4 linked regions of the Struthio camelus genome follow. The protein of the gene in region 3 purifies or fractionates together with the protein of the main gene of each other region. This does not show direct contact. Links are inferred from orthologs where the notes say so. Each region holds a gene or a part of one and is shown on either strand. Other genes may lie near its edges. The genes, in order: PSME3IP1, TNPO3, CLK3 and GPATCH8.

Evidence for each region.
Region 1: the proteins of CLK3 (region 3) and PSME3IP1 purify together in Homo sapiens (affinity purification with mass spectrometry; 3 studies listed by BioGRID and IntAct, counting the BioPlex papers as one, with this or other methods). This does not show direct contact. The link is inferred for Struthio camelus from reciprocal best matches to the Homo sapiens genes CLK3 and PSME3IP1.
Region 2: the proteins of CLK3 (region 3) and TNPO3 purify together in Homo sapiens (affinity purification with mass spectrometry; 4 studies listed by BioGRID and IntAct, counting the BioPlex papers as one, with this or other methods). This does not show direct contact. The link is inferred for Struthio camelus from reciprocal best matches to the Homo sapiens genes CLK3 and TNPO3.
Region 4: the proteins of CLK3 (region 3) and GPATCH8 purify together in Homo sapiens (affinity purification with mass spectrometry; 3 studies listed by BioGRID and IntAct, counting the BioPlex papers as one, with this or other methods). This does not show direct contact. The link is inferred for Struthio camelus from reciprocal best matches to the Homo sapiens genes CLK3 and GPATCH8.

Annotation. Positions count from the first base shown.
Region 1 is NC_090951.1:29,704,414-29,712,218, forward strand, and holds the start of PSME3IP1 (PSME3-interacting protein), read left to right. Parts: upstream 1-4,798; 5' UTR 4,799-4,913; intron 4,914-7,805. UniProt on the Homo sapiens protein: Promotes the association of the proteasome activator complex subunit PSME3 with the 20S proteasome and regulates its activity.
Region 2 is NC_090942.1:1,545,224-1,553,124, forward strand, and holds the start of TNPO3 (transportin-3), read right to left. Parts: upstream 3,013-7,901; 5' UTR 2,815-3,012; coding exon 2,689-2,814; intron 1-2,688. UniProt on the Homo sapiens protein: Importin, which transports target proteins into the nucleus. Specifically mediates the nuclear import of splicing factor serine/arginine (SR) proteins, such as RBM4, SFRS1 and SFRS2, by recognizing phosphorylated SR domains.
Region 3 is NC_090953.1:23,500,632-23,507,882, forward strand, and holds the start of CLK3 (dual specificity protein kinase CLK3), read right to left. Parts: upstream 3,006-7,251; 5' UTR 2,949-3,005; intron 2,092-2,948; coding exon 1,943-2,091; intron 1,232-1,942; exon of another isoform or gene 1,150-1,231; intron 1-1,149. Other genes in the region: cingulin-like, read left to right, coding at 5,993-6,208, 6,618-6,718. UniProt on the Homo sapiens protein: Dual specificity kinase acting on both serine/threonine and tyrosine-containing substrates. Phosphorylates serine- and arginine-rich (SR) proteins of the spliceosomal complex.
Region 4 is NC_090966.1:268,065-274,976, forward strand, and holds the start of GPATCH8 (G patch domain-containing protein 8), read right to left. Parts: upstream 3,002-6,912; 5' UTR 2,886-3,001; coding exon 2,841-2,885; intron 1-2,840.

The sequences.
Region 1 (7,805 bases), on a different chromosome or scaffold from region 3:
TCCTCATGTCACCAGATAGCTTTGCCTTTAGGCGAGAGAACCACAGGGAACCTGCCGGGTTTTCTATTTTCAAGATCACTTTCCATGTCTCACTCTGCCTGCAGGCAGAGAGAGAATACACACAAATGGTACAATCTTCTGAAACAGGTTAGAGGGCAGTCTGTGAACTACATGACTCAAACTATATTAATACCAGTTAGTACGCATGTACTGAAACAAGCGATCCAAAAAGCCAGGTCAATACCGGAAAATACTTAATTCAAAACGACACCAAATCTGGTCCTTCTCATTGCGTCCAACAAAACACCCAAGATGTTCAGAGACTCAAAGCCAAAGTGAAGTGTTTCTACAGCAAAAATGGCTTGAGAGAAAAGTAACTACAGTAGCAAGTGTGTTGCATACTTAGAAACTATTACTTCTACAAGGGGAAAGATGTATTTGGAAAAGGATGGATTTCTGGTCATTGATCACAGCAAGTCATTGAACCCTCATTAATAAACGTATATGAATAAACAGGGAGTGGTACATTTGAGTATCCCAAAATGACTATTAATACAGAAAGCTCCCATAGGAGAGTTGGCAACACTTCTACAGCACAAGTTTGGCCACCATAATGGTAGAACACAGTACCAGATATCTACGAGCACGGCCAAAGATAGATCATGATCCACAGGTCAGTCACAAAATCTAGGAATCATGCTTGAACGTTTGACTCATATTAGGCCCCAAGGATACAATGAAGAATAGCAAAGGAAAAAAAAAAAAAAGATCCTGCTGGCACAACTGCTGCCATGACATAGCAAGTTTACAGTCACTGCATACAAATCAGGAAGGGAAAACAAAATAAGTCAACAAGACACAAGGAAGTGCAAAGCACAAAATGACAAGACAAAATTCTAATAAGACACTTGAAAGACAATGAACCTAAGAGCAGTTTATGTGCCTGCACTACTTTAAAGCAACGAATGCATTCAAAACCTACTAAGCAATCACCGTTTCGGGAGAAAAGAACAGTACAGAGAATTTAAAATGCTAAACACAACATACTGACAATGGAGCAGAATAGAACAAACCTTATCACTAGCTCACCTTCAATTCTACTACCAGCAGATAGTACTTTAACTTGCTACCTCTAGGTTGAGGGGGAACTGTCATAGTGTATGTGCAGAGATCCATGTCATTTTGTGACCACATCAACAAACATTTAAGTGACCTAAAGAGAGCAACAAGAGAGGTTTCAAAATGCAAAGCATTATTAGCTACGGGAGATTTTTAATGTGGAAGGAAACATGAACACAAAAGCCTAAAGTAACAGAACAATAAGTGTTCTATAACAAATCACCACACTTATCAGCAACCTATTGCTTTGGCTACTCAATATCTTTCATGTTATTCCTTCTTAATCTTCAAGAACAAAGCTTATGGGAAATCGGCTTTGATATCACCTGATGGGCAGAATATAAGAGATGTCATACTGTACAGACAGGAATCAAAAGATCACAACTAATTTATTTCAGACCGTAAACTAGCATGGCCATCCATGAGACTCACAGCAAACAAAACATGCTGAGAGCCAAGACCTCTGATGTAAAAATACTGAAAACATACCACAAAAGAACACTGAGAAGCTGTGCAGAAACCAACCTATCCTTTCTAAAAGAAAAAGCAAAAATTGAAAAAATATATACACATGGAACAACATAAAGCAGGATTATGAGAGCCACTGAACAATCACTGAAATAAAAGACCAGAGAGCAGGATATCAAGGCAGTTAACAGATGAAGCGTTGCGGTTGAACTCCATACATAAGAGACTGAAGGTGAATAAAAAAAGCAAATGAAAGACTTAAGGAAACCAATAACCCTCTTTTCCCAGAGACGCACACAGATACTATATTAGAACATAAAGAGAAGGAGTAGAATATCTGACCTAGAGATATTAGCAATCTAAAAGTAGGTAACTAACTAAGGCTAAGCTAATAAAGAACAAGCAATAGCAAGAGTAACTACAGGAGTTGTATACGATACAAAACACTACATTAAAGTATGGGAAGCTCCTTCAGGATATAAGTGATGGAAAATAGATGTTAAAAACCGTCAGAATTAGCAGGGTCTTCAAGAGAGTGCTTGGATGAAAAGGGGAAAGACAGCAAGAAGCAATCACGCAACTACAGTTGTGCTGCAAGCATTTGAAAAAAATACAGTAAAGGCAACACACAACCTATTCAACCAGACTTACAAATGAGAACAACTAGCAGTGAATGGGGCACAAAGCAGGAACAGTAATGACCTAAAGGAAGAAAAACAGAACGCGGTGCCAAGACTACAGAAGAATTCTCTTGCTGAGTGGGCTTGGGTAGAGGAGAACAAAGACATATGCAAAAGCACTTGAAGAACTGCAGGCCAGATTTAGACCAGAGCAAAGAACAGATCAATTCTTTGCAGCTGGATAAATCTAGAAGAAAAATACACCAACAGCATCCTCGACTCTGAAGACGCTATGACAAGTTTTGAGAATGCCTGGTCCTCCAGAAATTGATAGCTAAATGAATGAGTCCAAAATAGCAGAACAGAATATTTCAGATTGCTTGTGGGTGATGAGAATACTCACCTTTAACAGTTTTGTTTAGTTTAGCAAGGTAATAGCGAAGGTTTGAATACTAAGAAGAGGGATACTAAGAAAGGGAAGAGTTACAGTAGACAGGAAGACGACAAATGTATTTAGGTCTGCACATGATAGTGACCTCATAGTATCGGTCAAGATGGATGTATAGAAAATTATGAGTAAAGTTGAACTGAAATGAGGATCAGCACAAGACAAAAAAACAAATCAAAAACACATCAACTGGAAGACAAGAGACAAGGATGAAAAACCCAAGACCAAGCTGAAAAAACCTCCTTGATTATGTTGAAGAATGCATATACTGACACAGACTTTAAAAAAAAAAAAAACCACAGAAAATAGTGCGAGTCTAGAAGGTTGAACATATTTAGAGAAAAAGGCATCTCTCGTGGCTGTGACCAAAGTTTTGTCACATAAGGAATGCTGACAAATTAACAACTGACTACCAAAATGAACTCTGGGGTTGGAGTGGTTACTGAGAGATTCAGAGTCAGATTTAGTAGTAACAAAACAGGAAAAAAAACACTGACGCTCAGGACTTGCATCAAGAAGGTACCCAGAAGGATACCGTACCTCCTGATACATGTCATAAAATAAGGATTAGCAATAAAAAATTAGAAGGAAAAAAACAAAGATGCATGTGATGGAAACAGTGACCAGTAGAACAGAATCAAAGGCCTTAGAAACAAAGGCAAGTTTGATACTGTGATTGTGCAAAGCAAGGAAGAGACTTGTTCTGTAACCACCAAACTAAGAGAATAAAACAGTACAACAGTGTTACAACACTAGTACGCAAGGTGCCACTGCCTAATCTTTTGTTCAGGCAAGCAAAAACAAAAGATCTGGATAAATAACTGCATTTTGTAGCCTACTCAATATCTTCATATTTTCTCTGTAAAACAGAGAAAAGTTATTTGGGAAAAATGCTTTTAAAAACAAGGAGCGGTAAATAAGGTTTTCAGGATTCAGACTGCTTCCCTTAGTAAAAACATATTCCTGGGCTAAACAAAATTCTTCTGAACGCCTCTTGGTTCCCAAGAGATCACAGAGGAGCACGTCATTTCGTCTTCTGTGTACTAAAACCCAATTCCTTTCAACGCGCTGCAGCAGAGCTCTTGTTCTGCAAGCCATAGAAGTACCAGGAGGCTCTCTCAGGACCTGAGAAGTTGGAATACCTCGCTGTGCCGAACAACCGCAGCTCTCGGGAGCACAGTCCCAGCACCAGCAAACTCCCGCCTCGTGCAAGTTTTGCAGCTTGCTTAGGCAAGCTTCTAAGGTTACATCTAAACCAAGCTCTGCTGCCGGGGCCTCCATGCAGAGCATTCAGCAAGCGTTCAACCATGCAAGCCGCCCAACAGAGCGCAACGAAAACAGAGCCTCATCTTGGCCCCTTGCCTTTTTTTTCTTTCCTCCTCCTTTCTTTCTTTTTCAATCACACACAGAGAACTCCAGCTATGCAATTTGTTCCGCTAAACGCCACGGCAGTACCTGCATAAGCAAGGATTACTCCGGCGAGCGAGGGTCACCGGCCACGACCCGGGGAGCGGAGCTCGCCCTTCCGCGGGCGCTGCCCGCCGGGCCCCGGCCCAGCCCCGGGCTTCCCGGCGCCTCGCCCAGCGGCGGCCACACGCGCAGCTCCCGGTAGCCCGCGGGGAGCGCCCGGCCCCAGCCGTCGGCAGCGCCGGGCCCACCGCCCCCCGCAGCCCGGCCCGGCGCTGCCCCTTCCCCGCCGCGCCGCGCCAGCCCTGCCCCCGCCCCGCCCCGCCGCAGCCCCCCGGCCGCGCCCGCGCGGCTACGCACCGGGGCCGCGCGGCGCCCGCGCCCCCTCGGGCCGGCGGCGAGGCAGCACCGCTCCTTTGTGCCGCCGCGGCGCGCGGCGGAAAGATGGAGGCCACACACCGACCATCCCCGCCCCGCCCCGCCCCGCCCCGGCCCGCTCCGCCCCCCGCCGTCGCCCGGGCGACCCGTCCTGCCCCGCCCCGGCCCCGCCGGGCAAACCTCCGCCAATCCCGGCGCGGGGCCGCCTTGATGTCACCTCGCAGCCAATCGCCCGGCGCGTTCCTGATACGCGCGGAGCGGCGGCGGCTTGCGCTCCTTCCCGTAAGAGCGGCTAGGATTGGTTAGTGGGGGAGGGGCTCCCTGGGGAAGAGCTCTCTCGATTGGCTCTCTCAGGCGGAAGGGGCGGGGCAGCCGGCGGCGGCGAGCGAACCGGAGCGGCCCTGCGGGAGGGGAGCAATGGCGGCGCTCTAGGCTGGGTTGCGCGTCTTGCTGTAACGGGCTGCCGGGCCGCGGTACGTGCTGGCGGCGCCGCCGCGGCCGCCGCCCTGGGCGGGGTCGGGGCTCTGAGAGTGCGGGGGCGGGCGGGGCCAGGCGGCGGGGCCCGGGGAGCGCAGGGGGCCGGGGCCCTGCGGCGGGAGAGCCGGGAAGAGGGGCGGCGCGGCGGCGCGGGCCGGGGAACAGGCCCTGCCCGCCCCGGGCCTCCTCCGGGGAAGCCTGCTTCCCTCTGCCCGTCTGCGCCAGCCCGGGAGAGCGGGGCCGGGGCCTCGGTGATGGTCCCCGGCTGCGGCGCGCTTGGTGGCGGGCTCAGGGTGCGCTCGGTTTGGCGCCCTGGGGAGGCGCTGGGAGAGCTGCTAGGCGTTTGTGACAGCAACGTGTTGACTTACCCGTTAGCGATGGTGGTCTTAACGTGTTGGAAGGTGTACGCGAATACCAGAGATACCGCCTCTGCTGTAGGCATGTTCCAGCCTGAGCAATGACAAGGACCGTGAGTTTTTATTTTTAAATACTGGGATCGTTACCATCTACTAGCACAAAAAAGTCCAGTTTACTGCTTGGAATTCTGTTGCTGTGCTGCTGAAATGATGACATCTAACTTCTTCGTTAAAACATAGTCACTGGACAAGAAGGTTAATAAAAGGGCAGCTTCCAAACACACGTGAAGTATTTTTTCTGGTTTGGAAGACTTTGTGGATATATATGTGTGTGAGATGCGAGAAAGAAAATACTGCAGCAAGATTAGCAGACCTCTAAGTGTGTATATACTTACATGCTTCGCTGCATCTTTCCCCCCCACCCCGTCTCAGTGCCCCAAGATGAGGCTGTCAGTAGAGCCATCATTTGATAAAATGTTTCATTAGATGCTACTCTCCAGGATTATAGCGAAAGTACTTTAGTTCTATGTCGCATCATAATTAAATCCTAATCTATTTCCACTGTGTTACAGTATGTTGGCTAAGTGGCTCAACCAGAAGGCAGATGGTTTGCTATTGAAAGCTTTAGTCCTGAAATGATGCTGCACCCTTGCTGACTCTGTTTCTTCCTTTTGTTTTTATGATTTTTTTGTCACCATTGTAGACATTTCCTGTCTAAAGGACAAGCTGAAATGACACAAGTTGGGAACAAAATTATCTTGCTTGTGCAGCACTTCAGTAGGAAAGCTGATCTTGTGGTTAGGAGCTATATTGAGGAGAGAGTTTCAATTTTCAGTTTCTCTATGGATTTTCCCCTCAAGCCACCTTTGGAAATGACATTCCAAAGAGCACATGCACCATGCTTCCTGGAAATTGGACTCATCTTAAGGGTGGGTTTTTGTTAGATTAGAAAAGGAAAATAACCAGCCCTTGACCTCTCTTTCCTTTCTCCACGCTTAAAAAGAAAATCTGTTTCTTTTCTTTGCCTTGTTAGTTCACATCTTACGAATGCATCGTGTTTTAGTAAATATTTGTACAGTGCTTAACCTGGATCTCTACTAGGACCTCCGTTTGTCATTTGTGATACAAGTAGTAGGCCACAAAAGCATCAATTTCTGTAGGAATTTCAGGACTGGGCTTCCTGCAGGAATGGTTCTTTGTGGTGCAAAGGAAGTATGATACACTAGTTCCTTCCATTATTTTGAGTTATTTCCTTCTTCTCTGGAAGAATATAGGTACTCAGTTCTGTTCCAGTGTGGAAATGCAGGCAGAGCTAGATCCTAAATGCGTAAGACTTAGCAGTATGTGGCAGTTATCTGTAGTCCTTGAGGTACTTGCTGAAGCTATATCAGGGAAATGTGAAGAAAACGGAAAAGTGTGATGTTAGCATAACTTTAAATGAATAGCTATTGATCCTATGTTTGTATTGTACTCCGGTATACAGTCTTGAAGTAAGAAAAAAATAAGTCAGGAATAATGCCTCTCATAGCCCATAGAGTGGACAGAATAACTTGAAGGAGCCAAATAGGACTTGCACAAGCAGTCTATCGTTGTTTCATCTTGGAGTTATAGGTGTCAAGACCATGAATTTCCTTCTTAGGATGTATCTATGGAGGATTTGCACCCTGGGCCTGATACTGAAATGGGATATCTGCCCAGTACTCAAGTATTACCATCTCTTGAAGTGGAGGGCAGATATGTTAAGTGTGAAGGAGCTGTACTCACTTGGTCTAGTAACACTGCTCCAGTCTTCTACTCCCAGCCTTGTTGCAGCCAGAGAGAGTTCCCTCTTCCACTCGCCTTTTGGGTTCTCTATAACCCTGCCAAAGGACTTAAATTTCTTTTTTTTTTTCTTTTTTTTTTTTTTTTAACATCTAATCACTGTTAATTTCCACCACCACTCTCTGCAACATAGTTTACTCAAGTCTAGCTCTAAAAACCCTGGTTCTGAAGTTTCTTCATGCTACCTGGATGCTATTAGAGTGAATAGGAGAGGCAAGCTCTGACCCTACTTTCTCTGGGAGTGGCAATTACAATAATGTCCACGTGGGGACAGTAGGTTTGAGGTGGGGCATGCCAAACTGTTCTTTGGGGATGATGCACACATTGTCTTCTTGACACGCAGCGATGCAAAAAGGTTTTGGAAGATTAGAGAGTTTAGCTGCTAATTTCTGAAATCACTGAAAATAGGCATACTACTTCAGGTTTTCACGGGATGGGCAAAAAACTTATGTAAAATGACGGCCGAGTTTCATGTGCTTTCTCAAGAGCAGAGAGGTGCAGGAACTGGAAGAAAAGTGTGTAAGAGGCTCTTTTTCTTTTCTCTTTTTTTTTTTTTTTTCCCTCTTTTTTTCTTTTGCCAAGGTAAATCCAAGATGAGGTAAGGAAAGTTACATTGTAATGTCACTTCTAGTTGTCTGCCTCGGGACACTTTCCTAACAGGGAAGACATAATTATGAGAAATAGTAAAGAAGGGGTAATAGGTGGTTTGTC
Region 2 (7,901 bases), on a different chromosome or scaffold from region 3:
TGAGAAAAGATAAAGAAGTTACTTCCCTCTAAAAAGCAAAGGGATCCCCTTTGTCTTCTGGCCAGACTGCTGAGGTACTTCACGCACACTTATCTGCGCCACAGGACAAAAGCAGCTTCGCAGAGGAATTGTCTGTTCAGTCACTAGAGATTATTTGTACGACGGCAAGTTAGTTAAAGGGAGCAGCCAGCGCAGAAAGAAGCGTTCAAGGAGCAGAAGGCAACAAAGGCTTAAATTAAATAAGCACGCTTTTGATTTAGTTTACAAAACGATCTGGAAAACACAGATAAGCGTCCAAAGCAACCACAGCTGAGCAAAACAGACCACAAGGCTTTCCACAGGGACAGAGACGAATGAGAAACCCCATCCTCGTGGGAGGCCAGGTTTTTTTAAAAATTAAGACCCAAATGCTTCCACCGCTCCTCTTGATGGGGCAGTGTGTCTCAAGCACGGCTCACAGGCCCTACAATGCCGTCGGGGGGGCCCTCTGCTCCTAACGCAGAAGTAACCGCTTCAGACTGCAGTCTTGATGTTCAGCAAGTTACCTTGAAAGCAGGACGCTATCCACTTCTTTGTCCTGTCGCATCACCAGCTGGCTCTAGATTTCCCTCTCTGCCCCAAAGGCTGATCAGGAATTCATCTAGGCACATAGCAAAAGCGTTATCTGTTCCAGAAATAGATCTGCAATAATTGCAGCACAGTTTACTCTCTTTCAACTCTAATATAGAATAAAAGCTGGAGTCTTTAGTTTGCCTTTGGCCTTCTCAGGTAGGGATTCAGCGGTTTAGGAGGCCTCACGTGACAAAAAAGGAGAATCTCATGCCGCGATTACAAATTTAGTTTCTGAAACAGGAGTAACCTCACAACAAAGTCACAGACTGGGCAAGAGAGACACCGCTCTGGAAATAAACTGAAACAAGATCTTCACGCGGCCACAACCAAACCCCTAACGTTCATCAAGTTACCTTAAATGCTGGTGTGAGGGTACAGCCCAGCAAGGCGACAGGGTCCAGGGGGGCTCTGCTCCACGTCTCAAACCGATCAGAAGAACTGCTGTGTGTCTGCTGTGTGTTGGCACTCAACACTTGGCAAATTCATGTAAGTTTAGTTGTTCTCCTTGCACACCCACCCCACGTACTTTCCAAATGGTGAAGACCGCTTTTTCAGGAAAAGATACCATCCAAATATACATAGACTTGATTAATCTTTATAACTGGATTTTTCCCAAACTTACCAGAATAGTTGCAGAAGTAAATACTACTATAGACTCTTACGATAATTAGGAATCCAACTCTATTCAGCTCAAGTAAATTAAGGAAGAAAACATGAGTTTGTTGTAATGAATGCTGTAAAGAGGTACTAGCCAATGAGAAGTTCAGAGCAGCAACATTTATCTAGCAGATTAATTCCACAGTCACTACTTATCTCCTACAAAGTGAGGAAGCTGAACAGAGCTCTGTAAAACTTGCTTGGGAAGACACTCGAGGAAGCAGAGGAGAATTTTCTGCTGTCCTTCACAGCATTCAGGCTTTGAGACAAGCAGACCAGTGCAGGGGGCAGAAGTCTTGCTCTTCAAGAGGTCCCAGCATGCTAGACAAAACTGATCAGAATTCAGGATTCACTGCTTCTCCTCGGAAAACACAAGCAGCCTCCAAAGATTTCTGGCGGGAGGGGCGGGGGTAGAGGGGACGTGTGGACGGCAGAGGAGGAAAACTAGACATCAGCGACACAAAGGACGCCCGCTCTATGCTCCGCTCTACATAGCTGAGAGCCATACCGATACAAAAGACAACAAGGAGAAACAATAGGCTTTAGGGGAAAAAAAAAAAAATGAAGTCACTCCCAGCCTTACAACCAAGAGCGAACAAATATGTTTTCAGCAAGAGAATGCCCTGAAGTACGGCTAGGCCAAAAAACATACATCAATTTCTAAATTTAGTCTTGAGGCTAAAGTCCAGCAGGACAGAACTTGACATCAATCACTTCAGGGTTTCAGAAGCGAGCAGCAGTGCTTCCACTCCTCTGGTTCACCGTAAGCTAGAGCACGACTTCGACTGTTTTCCAGGGGAAGCCTCAGCTCTCTCGGCCGTGGGCAGGCCGGGAGCAGCGGGCAGAGCGGGGGTGCCCGTGGGGTCCATCACGCCCGGCGAGAGGAGGGGTTGTGGGCCCGTCCAATACCTTTCACAACGTTTCCCTCAACCATTTCCTGCTCCTCAGCTACCACAGAGGCTGTGCCAAATAAGGCAGCCTGTCTTTCCTGTTCTGGTCAAGGAGCCTCAGCGCGGGCAGACCGCGACAAAAGCCAGGCCTTTGCGCTCCCCAGAGCGGACTTGGAGAGCGGTAACGATAACAAAACACCACCTCGCTGCTTCGGGTGAAGCCACGAAGACAAGCCAGGTCGCCGAGCAGCTGCGGAGGGGCTGCCCGCCAGCCAGCTCCGCGCCGCCGGACGTCGACCAAACTCCCGCTCTCACGCCGACAGGCCGCGGCGAGCGGGACCGGCGACGCGGTGGGCAAGAGCGGAGGGGACCGGGGCACAACGCCGACAGCCGCCGGGGCAGGCGAGCAGCGAGGCCAGGCCGCGGCCTGGGGCGAGGCCTACTGAGCTCTCCACACACTTCCCCCCCCCCGCCCCCAAAACCGGTCCTGCCCCCCGCCCGAAACGTGCTCCACCGGAGCAGGCCTCACCGATCGCTGGAGCTCGCCCAGCCAGCAGCTCGCCCGCTCCTTGCCGCTGGGGTCGGGGTCGTGGTAGAGGGCCTGCACGGCCTGGTACACCACCTGCAGGCTCGGCTTGCCCCCGCCGCCCTCCATGGCGCTGCCGATGCTGCCGCCGCCGCCGCTCAGGGCCGCCGGCCGCTGCCGCCCGCCGCCATCTCCTCGCCCTGCGCCGTCCGTTACCGGGACGGGGCGGTGCCACGCCGAGCGCGGCCCCCGCCGGAAACACGCGCCGAGCCGCGCGTTCCGCTTCCGGTCCGGCCAACCCCGCTCCCTCCCTCCCTCCCGCCCGCTGCCACCGCCCGCTCGCGCCGCCCGGAACCGCCGCGCCGCGCTTCCGCCGCGTGCGCCGCCCAAAGCGGCCCGGCCGGCACGGCGGCGGCGGGAAGAGACGGGCCGCCCCCCTCCACCCCCCCCCGGCGGCGGCGCTTCCGGGACCCGCCCCGGCCGCCATTGTGCGCGCGGTCTGGGCCCGGCCGCCAGCCCGGCCCTGAACCCCGTGTGGACCGTGGTCCCCGGTGCCCCCGGCCCGGTCCCGTCCGGCCCCCTCCCGCTCCCCCCCCCCGGTGCCCCCGGCCCCGTCCGGTCTGTCCCCCTCCCGCCCCCCCCCGGTGCCCCTGGCCCGGCCTGGTCCCCTCCCGTCCCCCCTGGTGCCCCTGGCCCGGTCCCCTCCCGTCCCCCCCGGTGCCTCCGGCCCGGCCCGGTCTGGTCCCCTCCCGTCCCCCCTGGTGCCCCCGGCCCGGTCCCCTCCCGTCCCCCCCGGTGCCCCTGGCCCGGCCCGGTCCCCTCCCGTCCCCCCCGGTGCCCCCGGCCCAGTCCCCTCCCGTCCCCCCTGGTGCCCCCGGCCCGGTCTGGTCCCCTCCCGTCCCCCCCGGTGCCCCTGGCCCGGTCCCCTCCCATCCCCCCCGGTGCCTCCGGCCCGGCCCGGTCTGGTCCCCTCCCGTCCCCCCCGGTGCCCCCGGCCCAGTCTGGTCCCCTCCCGTCCCCCCCGGTGCCCCTGGCCCGGTCCCCTCCCATCCCCCCCGGTGCCTCCGGCCCGGCCCGGTCTGGTCCCCTCCCGTCCCCCCCGGTGCCCCCGGCCCAGTCTGGTCCCCTCCCGTCCCCCCCGGTGCCCCTGGCCCGGTCCCCTCCCATCCCCCCCGGTGCCTCCGGCCCGGCCCGGTCTGGTCCCCTCCCGTCCCCCCCCGGTGCCCCCGGCCCGGTCCCCTCCGTTCCCCCCAGCTCGGCCCGCTCCTGTCCCCCCCCGGTGCCCCCGGCCCGGTCCCCTCCCGTCCCCCCCGGTGCCCCCGGCCCAGACTGGTCCCCTCCCGTCCCCCCCGGTGCCCCCGGCCCGGTCCCCTCCCGTCCCCCCCAGTTCCCCCCGCCCGGCCCAGTCCGGTCCCCTCCCGTCCCCCCCCGGTGCCCCCCGCCCGGTCCCCTCCCGTCCCCCCTGGTGCCCCTGGCCCGGCCCGGTCTGGTCCCCTCCCGTCCCCCCCGGTGCCCCTGGCCCGGTCCCCTCCCGTCCCCCCTGGTGCCCCTGGCCCGGCCCGGTCTGGTCCCCTCCCGTCCCCCCCGGTGCCCCTGGCCCGGTCCCCTCCCGTCCCCCCTGGTGCCCCTGGCCCGGCCCGGTCTGGTCCCCTCCCGTCCCCCCGTCCCGGCCCACTCCTGTCCCCCCCCCGGTGCCCCCGGCCCAGACTGTTTCCCTCCTGTGCCCCCCCGGTGCCCCCGGTCTGGTCCCCTCCCATCCCCCCCCAGTACCCCCACCCCGGTCTGGTCCCCTCCCATCCCCCCCCAGTACCCCCACCCCGGTCTGGTCCCCTCCCGTCCCCCCCCCCCCCCGGTGACCCCTGCCCGGCCCGCTCCGCTCCCGTCACCCTCGGTCCCACCAGCCTGGCCAGTGTCGTCCCAGTTGTGGGCACCAAGGGGCCGCAGGAGAGGGACGTTCAACTGGCACCTCTTGCCCCACCGCACCCATTGCACCTGCGTGGCCATGGCAGGGATGAGGGAATTGGGGGGGTGTCCGGGTCAGGGATGGGGGTGTTGGTGGGGATCTAGGGCATGGATGTGGGGTCGGGGTGTCTGGGGTAGGGACGAGGGGACTGGGGGGGGGGATGGGGGAGATGGCAGGGGTTCAGGCCTGCCATTCCTACAGGCAGCAGCGTCCCACAGGCAGAGGTGTCCCATGGGGAGAAGCACCCCAGGGAGCAGCAGTGTCCCACGGGCCGTGGTGTCCCATGGGGAGAAGCACCCCAGGGAGCAGCAGTGTCCCACGGGCCGTGGTGTCCCGTGGGTGGTGGTGTCCCACCAGCAGCAGCCCCGGGGAGCTGGGTGCTGGCACAGGGCACAGGGCAGGGGGGGCTCCTGACCCAGCCCTAACGCGAGAGGGAAGCGATGGGGGACCAGACCCCATGCTGGAGGGCAGAGGGTTCACAGCATCACACAAAATCACAGAAGGGTTGAGGTTGGAAGGGACCTCTGGAGATCATCTAGTCCAACCCCCCGTGCTCAAGCAGGATCCTCTAGAGCATATTTCCCAGGAGCGCATTCAGGTAGGTTTTGAATATCTCCAGGGAAGGAGACTCCTCTCTGGGCAACCTTTTCCAGTGCTCTGTCACCCTCACAGTAAAGAAGTTTTTCCTCCTGTTCAGATGGAACTTCTTGTGTTTCAGTTTGTGCCCGTTGCCTCTTGTCCTGTCACTGGGCACCACAGAGAAGAGAGTGGCCCCATCCTCTCTTGACACCCTCCCTTCAGATACTTGTAGGCATTGATGAGTTCCCTTCTCAGTCTTCTCCAGGCTGTACAGGCCCAGTTTCTTCAGCCTTTCTTCACAGGAGAGATGCTCCAGTCCCCTACTCAGCTTTGTAGCCCTCTGCTGGACTCTCTCCAGTAGTGCCATGTCTCTCCTGTACCGGGGAGCCCACAGTTGGACACAGTACTGCAGATGTGGCCTCAGCAGGGCTGAGTAGAGGGGGAGGATCACCTCCCTCCACCTGCTGGCAACACTCAATGCACCCACCCCAGGAGACCATTGGCCTTCTTGGCCACAAGGGCACACTGCTGGCTCGTGGTCAATTTGTTGTCCACCAGCACTCCCAGGTCCCTCTCGGCAGAGCTGCTCTCCAGCAGGTCAACCCCCAGCCTGTCCTGGTGCCTGGGGTTCTTCCTCCCCAGGGGCAGGAGCCTGCACTTGCCTTTGTGGAACTGCATGAGGTTCCTCTCCACCCAACTCTCCAGCCTGTCCACGTCCCCCTGAATGGCAGCACAGCCTTCTGGTGTGTCAGCCACTCCTCCCAGTTTAGTATCATCGGCAACCTTGCTGAGGGGGCACTCTGTCCCTTCCTCCAGGTCATGGATGAATAAGTTGAACAACCACCACTACCTCTCCCAGACTGACCTGTTGCGTCTCGTCAGGACCTGGACCTCCCGCGGCCCCGGGGTCCAGGCCGGAGCAGCCCGGCGATGCTGCCGCAGGCGCCCAGGGCCCCGGCGCCTGGCTTGAGCCAGGGCAGAGAAGCGGTCATGGGGGGACTTTCCGGCCGCCAGGCGCACGGCCAGGCACGCGGTTAGGACCTCCAACATGGCCCACCACATCCTCCGCTTCCCCAAATGACTCCTGCCTGGGGCTTTGGCCCAGGGCTCAGGGCATGGGGGACGCCAGGCTCGGCCCGGCCTCGGGGAAGGGGCAGCTTGAGGGATCCCAGCGTGGCATGGCCCCATATAGGGGACCCCTCACATCAATCCCTCCACTGCTATAGGTGCATAGGGGACCCCGTGCAGCACCACCCATTGCTACAGGTATATAAGGGACCCCCCACCAGCCTGGTCCGCTCCCGTCCCCACCGGTGCCCCCGACCCGGCTCAGTGTCCTCCCAGGTGCGGACGCCAAGGGGCTGCAGGAGAGGGACGTTCAACCCGCACCTCTTGCCCCGCTGCACTCATGGCACCCGTGTGGCCAGGGCAGGGCTCGTGGCATTTGGGGGGGTCCAGGTCAGGGATGGGGGTGTTGGGGGGGGAACTGGGGTGTCTGGGGCAGGGATGAGGGGACTGGGGGGGGTCTGGGGCAGGGTCCAGGGCAGGGGTCCGGGGCAGGGATGAGGGAGATGGCAGGGGTTTAGGGCTGGCATTCCCAGCCTGGCTCCCCAGGGAGCTTTGACCCTTCCTGCTGTTGCTGATAGCGTTCCTGAGGGCGCTGGGGCCTTTTCTGGCCTTTCTGATGACGTCGCCGGGGTCATTTGGGCCTTAGCTAGCGCTGCTGTTCCCTCGGTGCTGGAGACCCACGGCAGGGACCAGCCCATGGCGGCCCAGCCCCACAGAGGGGCAGGATGCGTCCCTGTCCTTCCCTCCATGCTCCATCCAAGTCTGCATCCCCATCCCTGTACCTATCTCCATCCCCATGTCCACCCCCATCCGTGTCCCCATCTGCAGCCCCACCACGTGTCCCCAGGTGCCCTCAGCAAGGGAAGGGCGTGCTGCTGGCAACATTGGGTGTCCTGCGGGAGCCAAGGTGCCACAGCGAGGAGCCGGGACGCGGGGCTGCTCTCCTCTCGCTCAGCCCCAGCCCACCTCAGCCAGGCACCACTCATGGTGCCTGTGATGGGGACGGCACAGTGATGTCACCTCCTGCAGGTGGCAGCAGCTCAGCAATGTCCCACGGGCAGCAGCATCCCATGGGGAGAAGCACCCCCTGAGCAGCAGCGTCCTATGGGCAGTGGCGTCCCATGGGGAGAAGCACCCCCCGAGCAGCAGTGTCCCACGGGCAGTGGTGTCCCATGGGGAGAAGCACCCCAGGGAGCAGCAGTGTCCCACGGGCAGTGGTGTCCCATGGGGAGAAGCACCCCCTGAGCAGCAGCGTCCTATGGGCAGTGGCGTCCCATGGGGAGAAGCACCCCCTGAGCAGCAGCGTCCCACGGGCAGAGGTGTCCCATGGGGAGAAGCACCCCAGGGAGCAGCAGCGTCCCACGGGCAGTGGTGTCCCATGGGGAGAAGCACCCCAGGGAGCAGCAGTGTCCCACGGGCAGTGGTGTCCCATGGGGAGAAGCACCCCCTGAGCAGCAGCGTCCTATGGGCAGTGGCGTCCCATGGGGAGAAGCACCCCCTGAGCAGCAGCGTCCCACGGGCAGAGGTGTCCCATGGGGAGAAGCACCCCAGGGAGCAGCAGCGTCCCACGGGCAGTGGTGTCCCATGGGGAGAAGCACCCCAGGGA
Region 3 (7,251 bases):
CCCTTTGTCACCAGTTGTAAGCTGTTTTAGGTACTGTGCGCGCACATTAACTGAAGAACTAAGCAGCTTCTCTGTGCTCAGTTAGAGAGCATCTGTGAGCTGGAAGTGCCTCAAGTTAGAACCACCATTCTATAACTCCTGCTTTTTACTCTGCAGGTCGCAGCTTAATCCCACGGGCTTTCTTGGCAGAACTGTTACGGTTACATTTTTAAACAGTACAACAAATATGGCATCACTTAACCACGGTTGGCTTGTACGCTCAAAAGCATGACTGTCTTCCCCCCACCCCAACGGTTATTCTTTATCTCATAAAATACTGCCTTCAGTGCAAGTCTTGCTTCACACGTCATTGAATGAGAAGCCAAGGTTTAGGTAGGAGATGTTGTAACTCACAGAGGAAGAACAGCATATTGGCTTTCCATGAAAGATGATAATCAAAGCGTGATCAACAGTGGCATTCTGGGCACATGGCTGGCCAGCTTGATGCTGTCTTATGTACCTAGCTGAGACCAAAGAGCAACTGTATCTCTGACCAAGACCTTGTTGCAACTGCTCCACTCTGGAAACAGGAGCTTTCGTTGTTTCCTCCCTCTCTACTTTGGCAACAGTCAGCCCTCTTGCTGACAGCTTAACAGTACACAGATGTGCGCGTGGTAAGCAGGTGGTTCATTTCATCTTGGATTAAGAACAAACAGCTTTACACAGCCTGCCAAGCCAGCAGCAGCTTTAGGTCATCACTAAAGTATCCAAAAACAAACAAACAAAAAAAATACAGCTTTATACCAACACCAATACTCCACTCGAAACATACCCTTGTGAAACTTCAGGGTGGACTTTCAAGACACAGAGGATTCAGAAACAACAATGGAGAATTTGAAGGGCTCAGATAGTGAGGAGACCAACAAACCTGTAAGAAGCTCACAGTCTGAGCCTAAAGGGGCAAAAAGGTTTTCACCCAGCAAAAGATGTTTTTCATCCAAATCTGTTCTATATAATCCACTAGATGAAAAAGAAGAAGTCCACTGCGTGCGTCAGTTGTATTTCACAATGCACTTCTTCCAAGTAAACACAAAAGAGATCCAGAACAGAATTTAAACAACAGAACAATTAAGGAATTTAAAGATGAACTCAATTCCCTTTTAGCCGTACCTGTCCTGTTAAAACCGCAGCTGAGCCAGCGCAACAGCACCTGGACAAGCTCCAACACCACCGAGCAGTGAGGACAGCCAACCTATTTCAGTTTCAAACCATGAAGTATCAGCACACAGCTCTCTATTAACACTCCTATCTCTGTTCCAGAACCCTCACCCCAGACCCTTTTATCAGATGACAGTTATCTATTGCGCTTTCAGCACCTGTGTGCTAATTTGTCAGTTCCTGGGGAAACAACGAACAAAAGGATCAAAATTAAAATCCAGAGCCAGAACAGTAAAGCTCAGTTAAACTTATGGTATAACAGAGCAGAGATTTATAATTCCTTTCTGACAGTATAAGTGAGGTAAAAGTTTCTTTTTTGTTGTTTTTAAACTTTGAGTTGTAATTTCAGAAGAAAACGGGTTGTCAAGAGACAAAGACTTTAATGGCTCCGCAGCATTAGAGCTGGGAAACATGATTCCAGGGCAGGCTGTTCTCTCTCATTAATATTAAAAACGTGCCATTATTTTGGGAAGAACTTTTGGCTAGATATAGAGGCAGAAGCGCATAGGAGAAGGCAAACAAATAAGCCATTTACTTCCATCTCTGGGATTTACAGTTTTAAAGCTTATCCACAATCAGGAAACACAACGCGTCACCACTCAGTGCTAGCTTGGAAACATGACCGGGATCAACGACAAGTATATATTAAGAGCATAATCTTGCCCACACCTCACCTGTAGCCATGTGCAGATGCCAGAGTAGCTGCCTAGCAGAGGTGCCAACCTTTGATGAAACCGGCTCTTACCTTCTAGACCGTGATCTCCTTGCAAGATCCCTCCGGGGAGGGTATCGCAATCTTCCATCATAGTCTCTGCTGCGAGACCTCTTCCTCTTCCATTTGTGACCCAAGTAGGTCTCTTGCTCGGGCGACCGGTATCTCTTACAGTGATGCATCTAAAAACATTAGAAATTTCCAGTTTAGCACCTGGAACACACGCTGGTTCGTGCTCTAACCACTTCCTGAAAGAGTCACAAAGCTTCTTATCCCATCAAAGAAGAAAGACGGAGACAGAGACTGCCCTACACAGGAACGGGTGCAGGAAGGGGCTGCGAAAGCCACAGCAAAGATTCCCACAGACTTAGGACGAGTCCTTCGCAACAGGATCACGGAACGGCCGGGGCTGGAAGGGACCTCCGGAGAGCACCTAGGCCGACCCCCCTGCTCGGGGGGAGCCCCCCTGCAGCAGGTAACCCAGGACGGCGTTCAGGCTGCTTCGGAACATCCCTAAGGACGGAGGCATCCAACAGCCAAACACGCAGCCAACGCCACCATCGTTTAAGGTATGCCGTCGTTGCACCCTTCAGGCCTCCTCTCAGGAAGCAAGAGCTATCATCCAGTTTTCCAGTGCCCTTTACAATAATCTCTATACAAATCCGTGCCACCGCGTCTCCTCTGCGGCCGTGCAACCGACCCCCCTGGGGCCTGAAACCGGGCGGGGGTGGGAAAGTGCCTTGCGGGACACGCAGGGAGACGCCAAGGCAAACGTCCGAGGACAGGCACGGGACCAGACACCGGACCTAAGGCAAACTTGGTACAAACGTTCTCCTGAAGGGAGCAAAAGCCCGAGCAGCTGACGCACCCAAGCGACACCCCAGGGGCTGGGAGCCAAGCGCAGCCAGGCGGCTCGGGCCGGCGAGGCGCCGAGAGCCCCGCGCGGCCTGCGGCAGCCGCAGCGGCCCGGCCCCGAGCCCGGCCCCGCTCCCCGCCGAGCCCCGCGGCCCGGCCCGGCCCGGCCCGCCCGGCCGCTCACCGCCCCTCCGCTCCGCTCCGCTCCCCGCCGAGCCCCGCGGCCCGGCCCGGCCCGCCCGGCCGCTCACCGCCCCTCCGCTCCGCTCCGCTCCCCGCCGAGCCCCGCGGCCCGGCCCGGCCCGGCCCGCCGCGGCCCAGCAGCGCCCGCCGCTCCCGCTCCCGCTTCCGCTTCCGCCGCTTGCCGGCCCCGCCCCTCTCCCCTCCCCTCCTCTCCTCTCCTCCCCTGCCCGCGCCGCTCCGGCCGCCGCCTCGGTGGTCCGGAGGAGGCGGCGGGTTAACCCCTTCCTCGCCGCGCGGCGCCCCGAAGGCAGAGAGGCCCCGCGGGGGTCCTAGCGCCGGGCAGCCGCCGGGCCTCGGGCCTCGCCCTGGCCTGCCCCCGCCCCGCCGTGGCCTTCCTCGCCCTGGCCCGCCTCGCCATGATCTTCCTCGCCGTGGCCTTCCTCGCCCTGGCCCGCCTCGCCATGATCTTCCTCGCCCTGGCCTGCCCCACTGAGGCCTTCCTTGCCGTGGCCTTCCTCGTCCTGGCCCGCCTCGCCATGATCTTCCTCGCCCTGGCCTGCCCCACTGAGGCCTTCCTTGCCGTGGCCTTCCTCGTCCTGGCCCGCCTCGCCATGATCTTCCTCGCCCTGGCCTGCCCCACTGAGGCCTTCCTCGCCGTGGCCTTCCTCACCCTGGCCCGCCTCGCCATGATCTTCCTCGCCGTGGCCTTCCTCGTCCTGGCCCGCCTCGCCATGATCTTCCTCGCCCTGGCCCGCCACACCATGGCCTTCCTCGCCATGATCTTCCTCGCCCTGGCCCGCCTCGCCATGATCTTCCTCGCCCTGGCCCGCCACACCATGGCCTTCCTCGCCATGATCTTCCTCGCCCTGGCCCGCCTCGCCATGATCTTCCTCGCCCTGGCCTGCCCCACTGAGGCCTTCCTCGCCGCGGTCTTCCTCGCCCTGACCCGCCTCGCCATGATCTTCCTCGCCCTGACCTGCCGTGCCATGATCTTCCTCACCCTGGCCCGCCTCGCCGCGGTCTTCCTCACCCTGGCCCGCCTCGCCCCGGCCTTCCTCGCCCTGGCCCGCCTCGCCATGATCTTCCTCGCCCTGGCCTTCCTCGCCCTGGCCCGCCACACCATGATCTTCCTCGCCGTGGCCTTCCTCGCCGCGGTCCTCCTCGCCCTGACCCTCCTCGCCGCGGTCTTTCTCGCCCTGACCTGCCGTGCCATGATCTTCCTCATGCTGGCCCGCCTCGCCGCGGTCTTCCTCACCCTGGCCCGCCTCGCCGCGGCCTTCCTCGCCCTGGCTGCCGCTGGCCGGCGGGAGCTGTCTGGCTGCCCGTGTCCCGTGCGGGCAGCCGGGCGGGAAGGGGCCGCCGGGCCCGGGCTCAGGGCGAGCGGTCCCCCGGGCCCGGCCGGCGGGGCCTCAAGCAGGTCGCTCCTTGCCGCGGCGGTGACGGTGCCCGAGGGCACGGCCGGGCTCGCCAGCAGCCGGGAGGCCTGCGGGACAGCGCGCCCGCAGGCTGGCAAGGGGCCGGGTGCCTTGGGCATTTTGCACAGGCTTTTTTTAAGCACAGATTTGCGGTTTAAACAGTTGCTTTTTGAGCGCGCGGCGCCGCCGGTAGCGCACCTTCGGTCGGGGGGCCGACGAGCGTCACTGCTCGTCCCTGCTGGCGTGCGCAAGCGGTGCCGCCGGTGGGCTTGGGTGTCCCCTCCTCTTCTCCCCTTGATGTTCTCCCCGGAGCTGCCCCGCCAGGACGCCTCGGGTCCCTCTTTGTCGCCGTGAGAGGAAGGCCGTTTTGGGAACCGTGCCGTAACGGCAGAGAGGAAAAGCACAGGTCTCCGTTTTATCGTTATCCCGCTCCGGAGGAACCTGAATTGCCGCTTTCGGGCCGTTTAGAGAACAAAGCGCTTGTGGGTTGGTTGGGTTTTTTTTAACCTTGCAAATTGTTTTAACGCCCCAAACCCGGCAGCCTCGCAAGGGCCGGCAAGGGGAGGCCGGCGGCGGACGATGGAGTCCCACCACGGGGCCGGCGTCCCCCTGCGCGCAACCGCCCCCAGCGGCGAGCAAGGAGCAGCCGAGAGAGGAGCGGAAGGCAGCTGCTCGTAGCCGGCGCGCGGGGAGGAAAAGAGGCGATGGCCGTGCCCTGCGAAGGCTCGGGACGGGGGCGAGGGGCGGGGGGGCCGGCGGCCTGGGGGCGCGGAGCAGGAGGGAGGGGAAGCGACAGCAGGCGGTGGGCAAGCGGGCTGTAGGGCGGCGGATTGGCGTCCCTAGCGGTTAGGGCAGCAAAGCGGCAAGGTGCTGAAGTGCCGCTGGCGTAACGTGGAAAATACTCAGACCGGGAACGGGTTCCCGGAGCCGCGGCGCCGCCCGAGTTGCCTTGGTGCCGTCCGCAGTGTATTTCCTGGCTCCGGCGGCGAAGACGGGGAGCTGCTCGCTCCCTGGAGGCTCAGCGCGCCGCCGCGCCGCGGAGCGGGCTCGAGCCACCAGCGGGGCGTTCGCCGGCCCGCGCGCCCGACGAGGCTCTGTCCTGGGGGGTCCAGGTGATGCTCTTCCCTCTCCTGGGCGCCGGTAACGCTGTGAACGTGTCTCCTTGTTTTCTTTCGGCCACTTCCTGGATCGCGTTGCCTGGCCCCGCGCCCTCCTCGCTGCCTGGTGGGCGCTCGCCGGGGCGGCTGGGCTGCGCAGTTGCTCACGGCGGGGACCCGGTTGGCGTTCCTCGAGGTGGGACCTCCACGTCCACCGTGGGGCCGCCGGTCTCTCCTGTGGGCCCTCCTTGTCTCCTGAGCCGGCAACTCGGCGCCCGCTGCTCAGCCAGCGCCCTGGTCCCGCCGCGTCCCTTCCCAAAAGCAGCAGGGAACGGGCTCCGGCGGCACGGCGTGGACAGACGGCCCCTAGGGCTTCTCACCCGCCGTCCCCAACCTTTCGTCTTGCAGCTCGGGCTCGTGCCCGCGCCAGGCTCCCTCTTGCCCGTCGTGTGGGGTGATTGCCCTGGGAGCGTGCGGCGGGATCTGCGGCAGCCGGGACGTGCCTGAGCGCCGGCGGCGCTGACGAGCGTCCCATGTCGTGCCGGAGACGGAGCAGCTTTGCTGCTCTGCCCTCCCGATACAGCGGCGACGGGTGCTACCAGCTCCGTGTCGCCTTGGGGCCTCCCAGCTGGGCCAGGCTGGACGCTGGGAGGCAGAGGAGAGACCTCTGGGCATCTCGGCACCCGTCTGTCTCAACGCTGCACAGGAGCAACAGAAAACCCCTCTCCTGGGACCCCTTCCAGGCGGAGGTAATGGTGCAGAGCATCCTCTGCGGGGTTTCAGCACGTCGGCTTCGAAAATGCCCTTTCCACGCGGCGTTATTGCATGGTGCAGCCCACGCGTGGCTGGACTGCATCCCGCGGGCTGGCCTCGGGCTGGGTTTCTCGGCGCCTCCAAGCCGTTCAGCGCAGCGTGCTGGCACGTCCCCCACCACGGGCCCCTCTTGCCGAGCAGCCTGCACCATCGCTCCCGCGCTCTGCCCAGCCTCGAGTTACCCTGAGCACTTGTGGGGTGATGTGAGGGTGACGTTCCTTGGGCCCTTGTGGTATCCCGGCAGTGATTTGGGTGCAAAGGGGTGGAGGGTGAAGGGGATAGAGCAGGTGCAGTTGGGTTTCCTCTGCCCTTTGCCTTCAAACCACTGTCCCTTGCCTTGTTCAGACACTCCTCAATGCATCAGCCCCGTTCCTCAGCCCGCGGAGCGGCGGCACCGGCAGATCCACGAGTCCCATCCGCGGGATCCCCTCTGCAGGGACTGGGAGGTGAGGTCAAATGGAAAATGGGGCTGCAGAGCCCGAGGGGAGCAGGGCAGGGCCCTGTCCCTCAGACCACGAGCCCTGCCAAAACTTCACCCTGCTGGAAAGGACAGATATCTTTGAAAAGAGACACACACAGCGGAGGGGATGCCTTGTCCCAGCATGCTCTGCCCCAGCGCTCAGTGCTGTGTGTAGCCCACCCAGAGGTGCCTGAAGTGCCCGCGGGACCCTGAGCATTGCTGCAAGGGCCCTGATGCCTCTCCAGAACAAAGCGAGGCTGCTGGGTTTCATCTGCGCCTGGAAGGGCCGGCCACGTTTCGATGCCGTGGCTGCCTCTGTCACAGGAGCTCGTTCCTGCCGAAATAACACCGTGTGGGTGGGACGTTCACCAGTGGGAGCCTTGGATGCCTGAGGGAGCTGGGTGGAGAGCTTTCCTAGCCTCCCCCGAGTAGGCTGGGGGCACCAAATAGCCTGGCTGCTGGGCAGAAGGCTGGGGGCCCTGAGCCACCCTCCCCTCCCGACATCCCACGCTCTGGGCA
Region 4 (6,912 bases), on a different chromosome or scaffold from region 3:
CTTTCACTTCAAAACCATCACAAGCAGATCACCCGAAAACTAAATCTAAGGGATTCCTCTATGGTCTTCCCCACGTTGTCAACCCCCCCCCCCGCCCCGCCATGCTACATCAATCCCTATTCAACTCGTATAATTGTAGAGCACGATCTCCTCTTTGTCATGCCGACTTAGGTCTCAACAGACTAGCAATAACACAGGGTCAAATTCATAGTCATGCTCCATCAAATCACAGAAATTTCATATGGTGAAACTCAAGAGTTACAACTACTATATGTTGTGTGAAAAAAGCATTCTTAACACTGATAGAAACAGTCCTATAAATGAAGCCTACATACAAATTTATGACTTTACACTAACAGAGAAATAATTTTAATTTTGCTGTAGTTTTGAGACTAGTATTGTATACTGACCATGAAAAACAGTGTGCTACAGGCATATTTATTTTTACCTGCGCTTAGCCACAGCATAACTTTCACAGTGGACCTGCAAATAAACACTCAAAATAGCAAACTATTTCCTTTATTCCACACCAGTCTTTTATCTCAAGTAAGATCTCAGTCTAGACACAGAGAAAAAAGTCAAAAGTAATCTTTGAAAATAGTTTTGATGAATAACTAGAAGGAAAACCAATAAGATCAGAAAAGCCATCCTCCACCAACATACTTCCAGAAAATTATTAGAACAACTATCAGGGATCATTGTACTGGTGCCTGATCTCCCACAAATTCAGTGTGAGCTTGGCCAAGTCACTTAGGCCCGCTTTCTCCCATGATCAGCGCTTTTATAGCCCATCATTTTTATATGTTCAGTCTTCCGCAAGCTTTAACTGACTCTGAATTGTTCTGCACTCAGTTTCTTCCCAGAGGACTGATTCCCCTTCTCCATTAAAGGGAGCTTTAACACACAAAATAAAATGTCTTCTTGTTCGCAAATTTTGAGTGAAGAAAGAATGGAGAAGTTACCCTATTATAAAATTAATCCCTCCTTTTTTAATTTTTTAAAGATAGCCAAAGGGCCTGACAATGAATGCTTGACATTTGGCATGGATATAGTCCTAATTAAAAATAGTGCCTTTTTTTAAGGTGAGAGGAAAACAGAGTTGTGACTGGGTTATTGTTTCTGAGCAGGCTCAGCAGCTTTCAAGATTTCAGCATCAGGTAATGGAGCCCTGTTTGCTATCTGACCTCACTACACATTCTCTCTGCATGACCAGATCAACGCAATGACACAGTAACAGGTTTTGCCACTACAATTGTGTTTTGTAAAGCAGGTTGCCCTGCAAATGTAGGAAAAAAAAAAAATCAAGGATAACAAGAAAAACACGTATGTGAAGAAGTTGTGGAATATATGATTATAGAGCCTAGCCATTTCTTGGCTATATCCTAAAATACTCTAGCTGTTCTATGTTCCCATCCTCTCCCCTCCAAAAATCAAACTACTCGTAGAAATGTATTTTCAAACTGCAGAAGTTTGGCCCACTCCGCTTCCTGAAACAGGAACTTCAAAGCCTGATCAGACCATTTCAATATTAACCATGAGGCATGTCTTCATTTAATGAAATAAACTATGCAAGCCATCCGCTGTGTTTAATATTAGGAAGCCATACTTACAATCCATAGATAAGGTAATTGGTGAAGTTAACCATGTTGATACATATTTGCCCATATGCTTCTAATATAGTTTAATACTCACTACTTATGAAATGCGCATCCACTAAAGCATCCAAAAGAATTACTACTGGATGTCCTGACTGTTTCAAGATGGTATCTTAATGCTACACTAAGTAGAATTATGCAAGCTCTGTAATTATAAAAAACAAGAAAAAAAAAACAAAAACCACTCCCAGCTCCTTGGATGAAAGGTGCAAGTTTACATGAAAAACACTACTGTGACTTTGGAGTCTTGAAATAAGAATGACCACATAAGAGATAATCAATAGCTGTTCTCTAGTTGCATTTATTCTCACTCCCTTTGTTTTCCCTTTTGTAACCTCAGGACTCTCTCAGGCTCAAGTCAGAAAACAAAATGTCATTGTTTGAGCTTAATTAGTCAACGTTAATTTTACAGTTGTTTATTTAAATCCACTTAAAAATACCAACAGTGGCATTAACGATGCAGAAACACTAATATTTTATTACAAAAAAAAAAAAACCATGAGAAGGAAAACGCATTTTCCACAAAGAATAAGGGACGTTAGCACATGCTGAAGGCAGCTGGAGAAACGGCAGAGATTTCTTCGTACGGTATTTACGGCTCTATTTGGGGAAAGCACGCTGCGAGAAAGCAGGAAACAGTTCAAAAGCAGGTGAGAAGAGCGGCGAGGCAGGAGCCCGAGCAGCATCCCACCGGGGACCCCGCTCCCTCTCCGCCTCCGTCGTAACACACCGTGAAAATAAATGCAGGAAAAGCACTGCTCCCCGCTTTGGGGCGGGGGTGCTCTTCACCGGGGCGAGCCGCCCCGGGCCTGGGGGAGGGGGAGCGCCTGCCACGGCCCCCCGTAGCCCCTCCGCCGCCGTTATCGCCCTGCCCGGAGCAGCCGGCGGGGGGAACCCCCCCAGGGCCCCTTGGCGGCTCGGCCCCTTCCTCAGCCCTTCCCGCGGGTCACCTTGACAGCCCGCAGCGCCGGCCCGGCCCGCGCCCCGGCACCCCCGCCGCGCTCGCGCCTTTGTGTCGTTACCCGCCGCCGCGGAGCGTCGCGGCCGCGCACAAAGCCCTGGCGAGGGGCGGCCGCGGCCCGCCCCGGGCCCGGCCTGCGGGGCCGCCGCAGCCCGAGGGGCCACTGCGGCCCGAAGGCGTGGGGTGGGGCGCCCCCGCCGTCCGCCGCTCGGCCCGGGCGTTACCTGGAAGTCCCTGTCCTCGTTGAAGCGGGAGAACCTGTCCGCCATTTTGCTCCTTCGCCGCCGCCGCCGCCGCCTCGCTCGGCTCGGCTCGGCCCGGCCCGGCTCCGCGACTCACGGCCGCCTCCCCTCAGCGCCGCGGTAGCGCGCCCGCCCCGCCCCCGCCGCGCGCATGCGCGCTGCTACCGTGCGGGCCACGGTCACGTGCCGTGCCCCGCCGCCGCGGGGCTCCGCCGGGCTAATACGGGCGGGCGGAGCGGAGGGGTGCGGCCGCGGCGGCTGGGGCAAGGCCCCCCTCCGCGGCGCACGGGGGCCGGGCTGACAGGAAGAAGCTCGTTGCCAGGGGCTGGGGGAAGGAGCAGCAGCGCGCGGGGCGGTCCCAGCCAGGCGGCTCCGGGGGAACGGGGCCGTGAGTTATGCCCGGGTCCCTCCGCAGGGCGGCGGCGACAGCGGCTCCCCCCGCCCCGGCGTGGGCCGGAGCGCGCACTGCGCATGCTCGACGCATCCCTCGCGGAGCCGCCGCTCTGCCCATGCGCGAATCCAGATCTCGGCCCGGGAAACAGGAGGGCGTGAACCCTGCTTCAGCCTTCCAGCCCTCGCGACTTGAACCAATGGGGCTGCCCCAAATTCTTGAGTGATATCAATAAGAACCAATGGGAGAGCGGGCTCGCCCCGCCCCCGGGGTGGCGGTGGGTGCTGCCGCCTGGCGGGGGCGCGCATGTGTGAAGGGCCCTGAGAGGGGCCGGGCGGGGCGGCTGGGGGGCGCTGCTGCAGCCGGTTCCCCGTGGAGCCCTGCCTGGGGCGTCGGGGCTGCCCAGCACCCCCGGTGCGGTGCGGACAGGTCGCCGGCCCCAGCTAGCATAGAGGCCCAGGCCTGAGGGGAGCAATGGCGCCCGGGGCCGGGCTGTGGCCGTGGCCCTGCTGCTGCCCCAGGCCCACCGCTGGGCCCCGGGGCCTTTCCTCACCCCTGTGTCTCACGGCAGCCCACAGGGCTTTGAGAGCAGGGGCTGGGCCCATCTTTTCCATTCACTGCCTCAGCTGTCTCTGAGCATGGCGCCGCGCGGTGCTGTCTCTCTGCAGTCCCTGACAGCAGGAAAATCGGATTCCATCTGTCTCCATTCACCCCGTTTCCTTCTCTCGCCAGAAGTCTTGTGGCTCAGGTCCTGCTTGCATGCTGCCCTCTGCCGCCTTGTTGAGGAAGGGTGGACAGAGAGGTGTTCAGAAACAGGCTGCGTTTGCAGGAAGCCTTTGGGCTCCAGTGCTTTGCAAAAAGACCTTTCTGAAGTCTGTTGACCAGACCATGCCTCCGTGTGCTGCACGTTATCTGTCTGCAATGCAAATGCCTCTCGTGACAAGCCCTGGGCGGCTTTCTGCAGGACTTCACCTGCCAGCTGTCGGTCGGATGCAGGGGAGGCTGAAGTTGTGCCTGTGCGGTCAGGTCCGAAGTGCTTTATCCTATGCAGTATGCTTTTAACAGACCTGACTTGATCTATTGCTGCAGTGTGCCAGTCGAGACTGTGCTGCCAGCACTCCTTCCTGGAGCTCCATCAAATATCTCCTGCCTCTGACAGTAAAGGTAATGCTTGTTAGGAAGGTTGCTATTCTCATCGCTGCCTCCCTTCAGCAGCCCTACAGAGACACTCCTCCAAGAGTTTCCCCTAATCCTGGCTCTCCCCCTGTCTCCCAGAGCTGGAATTTGAATTGAATTTGCCGTGCTAAAGCTGTGGCCTTTCTGTGCTTTTCTTCAGCCCCTCTAAACACCTCAACCCCGGGGCCTACGCAGCTCATCCCAGATCAGCAGACCTATGTCAGGGCAGAGCCAGGGCCCCTTGCTAATCCCTTCCCGCAGCGGTTCGCCGCTCCCTGTTCCTGCCACAGCAGCAGCCCATGGCGGGGGATGTGTGTGAACAGATGGTGCCACAAAAGTGTTTCTTGCCATCCCGTAGGCAAGGCTTTTTGGAGAGGAGCCTCAAGGCAGCTCGCTCTCTCCATCTCCCTCTGGGTGAGGAGTTGTGCCCTGTGCCAGCAACACTCCCAGATGAACAGAAACAGCCTCTGTGCAGATGTGCCCTCTGTGCACCTGAGTTTATACCACTGTGAGGGGAGGGAAAGTCTCAGAGAGGCTGTGGTGATAGCAAGGGGGAGCTGAGAGCATGAGCAGAACAGCAGCCCCGAAAGACGGCAGAGGAGAGTCCGGCAGCAGCGTTCGTGCTGCCGCGAGCCTGGTGGGGCTGCACAGCCGTGGCTTGGGCAAGGGGCAGCTGCTGGTGCAGAGCCGGCAGGCCCTGTTCTGCTCTGCTTCTCTCTCTGCTGACGTCCCCGTTGCTTAGCCTGGGGCAGGATGGAGAAACCAAGGCACGGAGGGGAGCAGGATCACAGGAGGGGCAGAACTCGGGCTGCGGTGTCCCTGTTCCCTGCAGCGACCACACTGGGGCCCCGAGGAGCAGGATGGTGCTCAGCAGCAAGTCCTGGGGCCAAGGAGCCTGTGTCCATGGAAGTGCTGGAGCACAGCTCCTCTCGCCACCAGCCCTGCCCTGGGGAAAGGGCTCCCAGCTCCAGCCTTTTTGCTTCCTCGAGTCACATCAGCGTTTTCAGAGGGGTCTGTCCCCCCTGCCATCCTGAAGCACCCAGACGGGATCATGAGGGCAGGGTGTTTGCACACCACACCGGCCAGGGCAGGGGTTCCTCCCCAGGACACTGGGCATGGCCACCCCCATCTCGCACCTGCCTTGCAGGATGGAGCAGTCAGTCTCTTGGGTGGCTCAGTCGAAAGGACACCCATGTCCTGCAGCCAGCCCACTCGTGGGTCCTAGGTGGGCACCCAGGGGCCCTGGTCCCAGTGCCGGGGCTGTGCCCACGAGGGGGAGCTCCTGCTCCACCCAGGGCTGACAGCAGGCAGTGGGACCCCCCACCCACATGCTGGGACCCCCACCTTGCTCCTGGTGCTTGGGCCTGGCACAGATGGGACCAGGCAAAACAGCACCCTGCTCTTGGGGTTGTGCCAGGCCCCGGGTGCCAGGGCACCCACAATTCAGGGCTCAGCATGTGCAGCGTGGGGGGCTGCACTGGGGGGAGGGCAGGGCTGGGGCTGGGGCGTCAGAGGAGCCCAGAGCCCTGGGGCTGGCAGTCAGTCAGCAGCAGACAGCGTTCGAAGAGGGGGCAGGAGCCAGGTACCTCCACAGTAAAGACTCAGCTCCCGGAGTCCCGTTATCTGGGCTCTCCTCCCACAGCAGGCATTGCTGCCAGATCCTGGGCTTGCCGGCTGCATGCAAGCCCTGTTTTCCTGCCCCCTCCCAGTGTCGGCATCCAGGACACGTGGCAGGGGGATGGCTGCAGCTCGCAGGGGGCACACGGAGCTCCCTGAGCTGGCCATGGCTGACCAAAGGGCAGGCGGACAGGCTCCAGTGAGGGCTCAGGGGTCACCATGCGGGTGGCTCAGCATTGGGATGACTAAGCTAGTCATTAGGCCCACAGCAAGATGCCATTTCCCAACCCAATCTGGAGCCATTTCAAGCTGGGTGGGATGAGTCCCGGGGCAGGGAGCGATGGTGCCCACAGCAGGAGAGCAGCTGGCACCCGGCATCCCAGTGCTGGTGGCACTGAACCCAATTGGGCAAGGAGAAGGGAGTGACCTTGTTGGGGTGGCAAGTCCCACGGGAGGGCCCAGGCATCCATGCAGCTTACCCTCCCTTCTCAGTGAACCCCATCCTGCTGGATTCACAAAGCCTTTGCTTCTTCTTATTAATGTGTATAGGGAACCCAGCCCTGCCAGGACCTTGGGGTGGGGGGGGATCTGGCACCTCGGGGTGCTGAGCTGGGGACAGGGGGTGGCTCCCTCCTGGGGGCTGCATGTCCGAAGCACCAGCTTGTTCCCCTAAACCATGGGTTGGTGGGGCTGGAGGCAGCACCCTTTCACCCTGAGCCTGTCCTCCCCCCGTGCCTCAGTTTCCCTGAGTGCTAAAGGGGTGAGCAGAGCCCAGCAGGCAAACCAGGAGCTGGAGCAGGGACTGCTTTGGGGCATCAACGCTGGGTGCTTGGTCTGTCCCCACCCCATGAGTGCTGTCCCCTTAGTGCA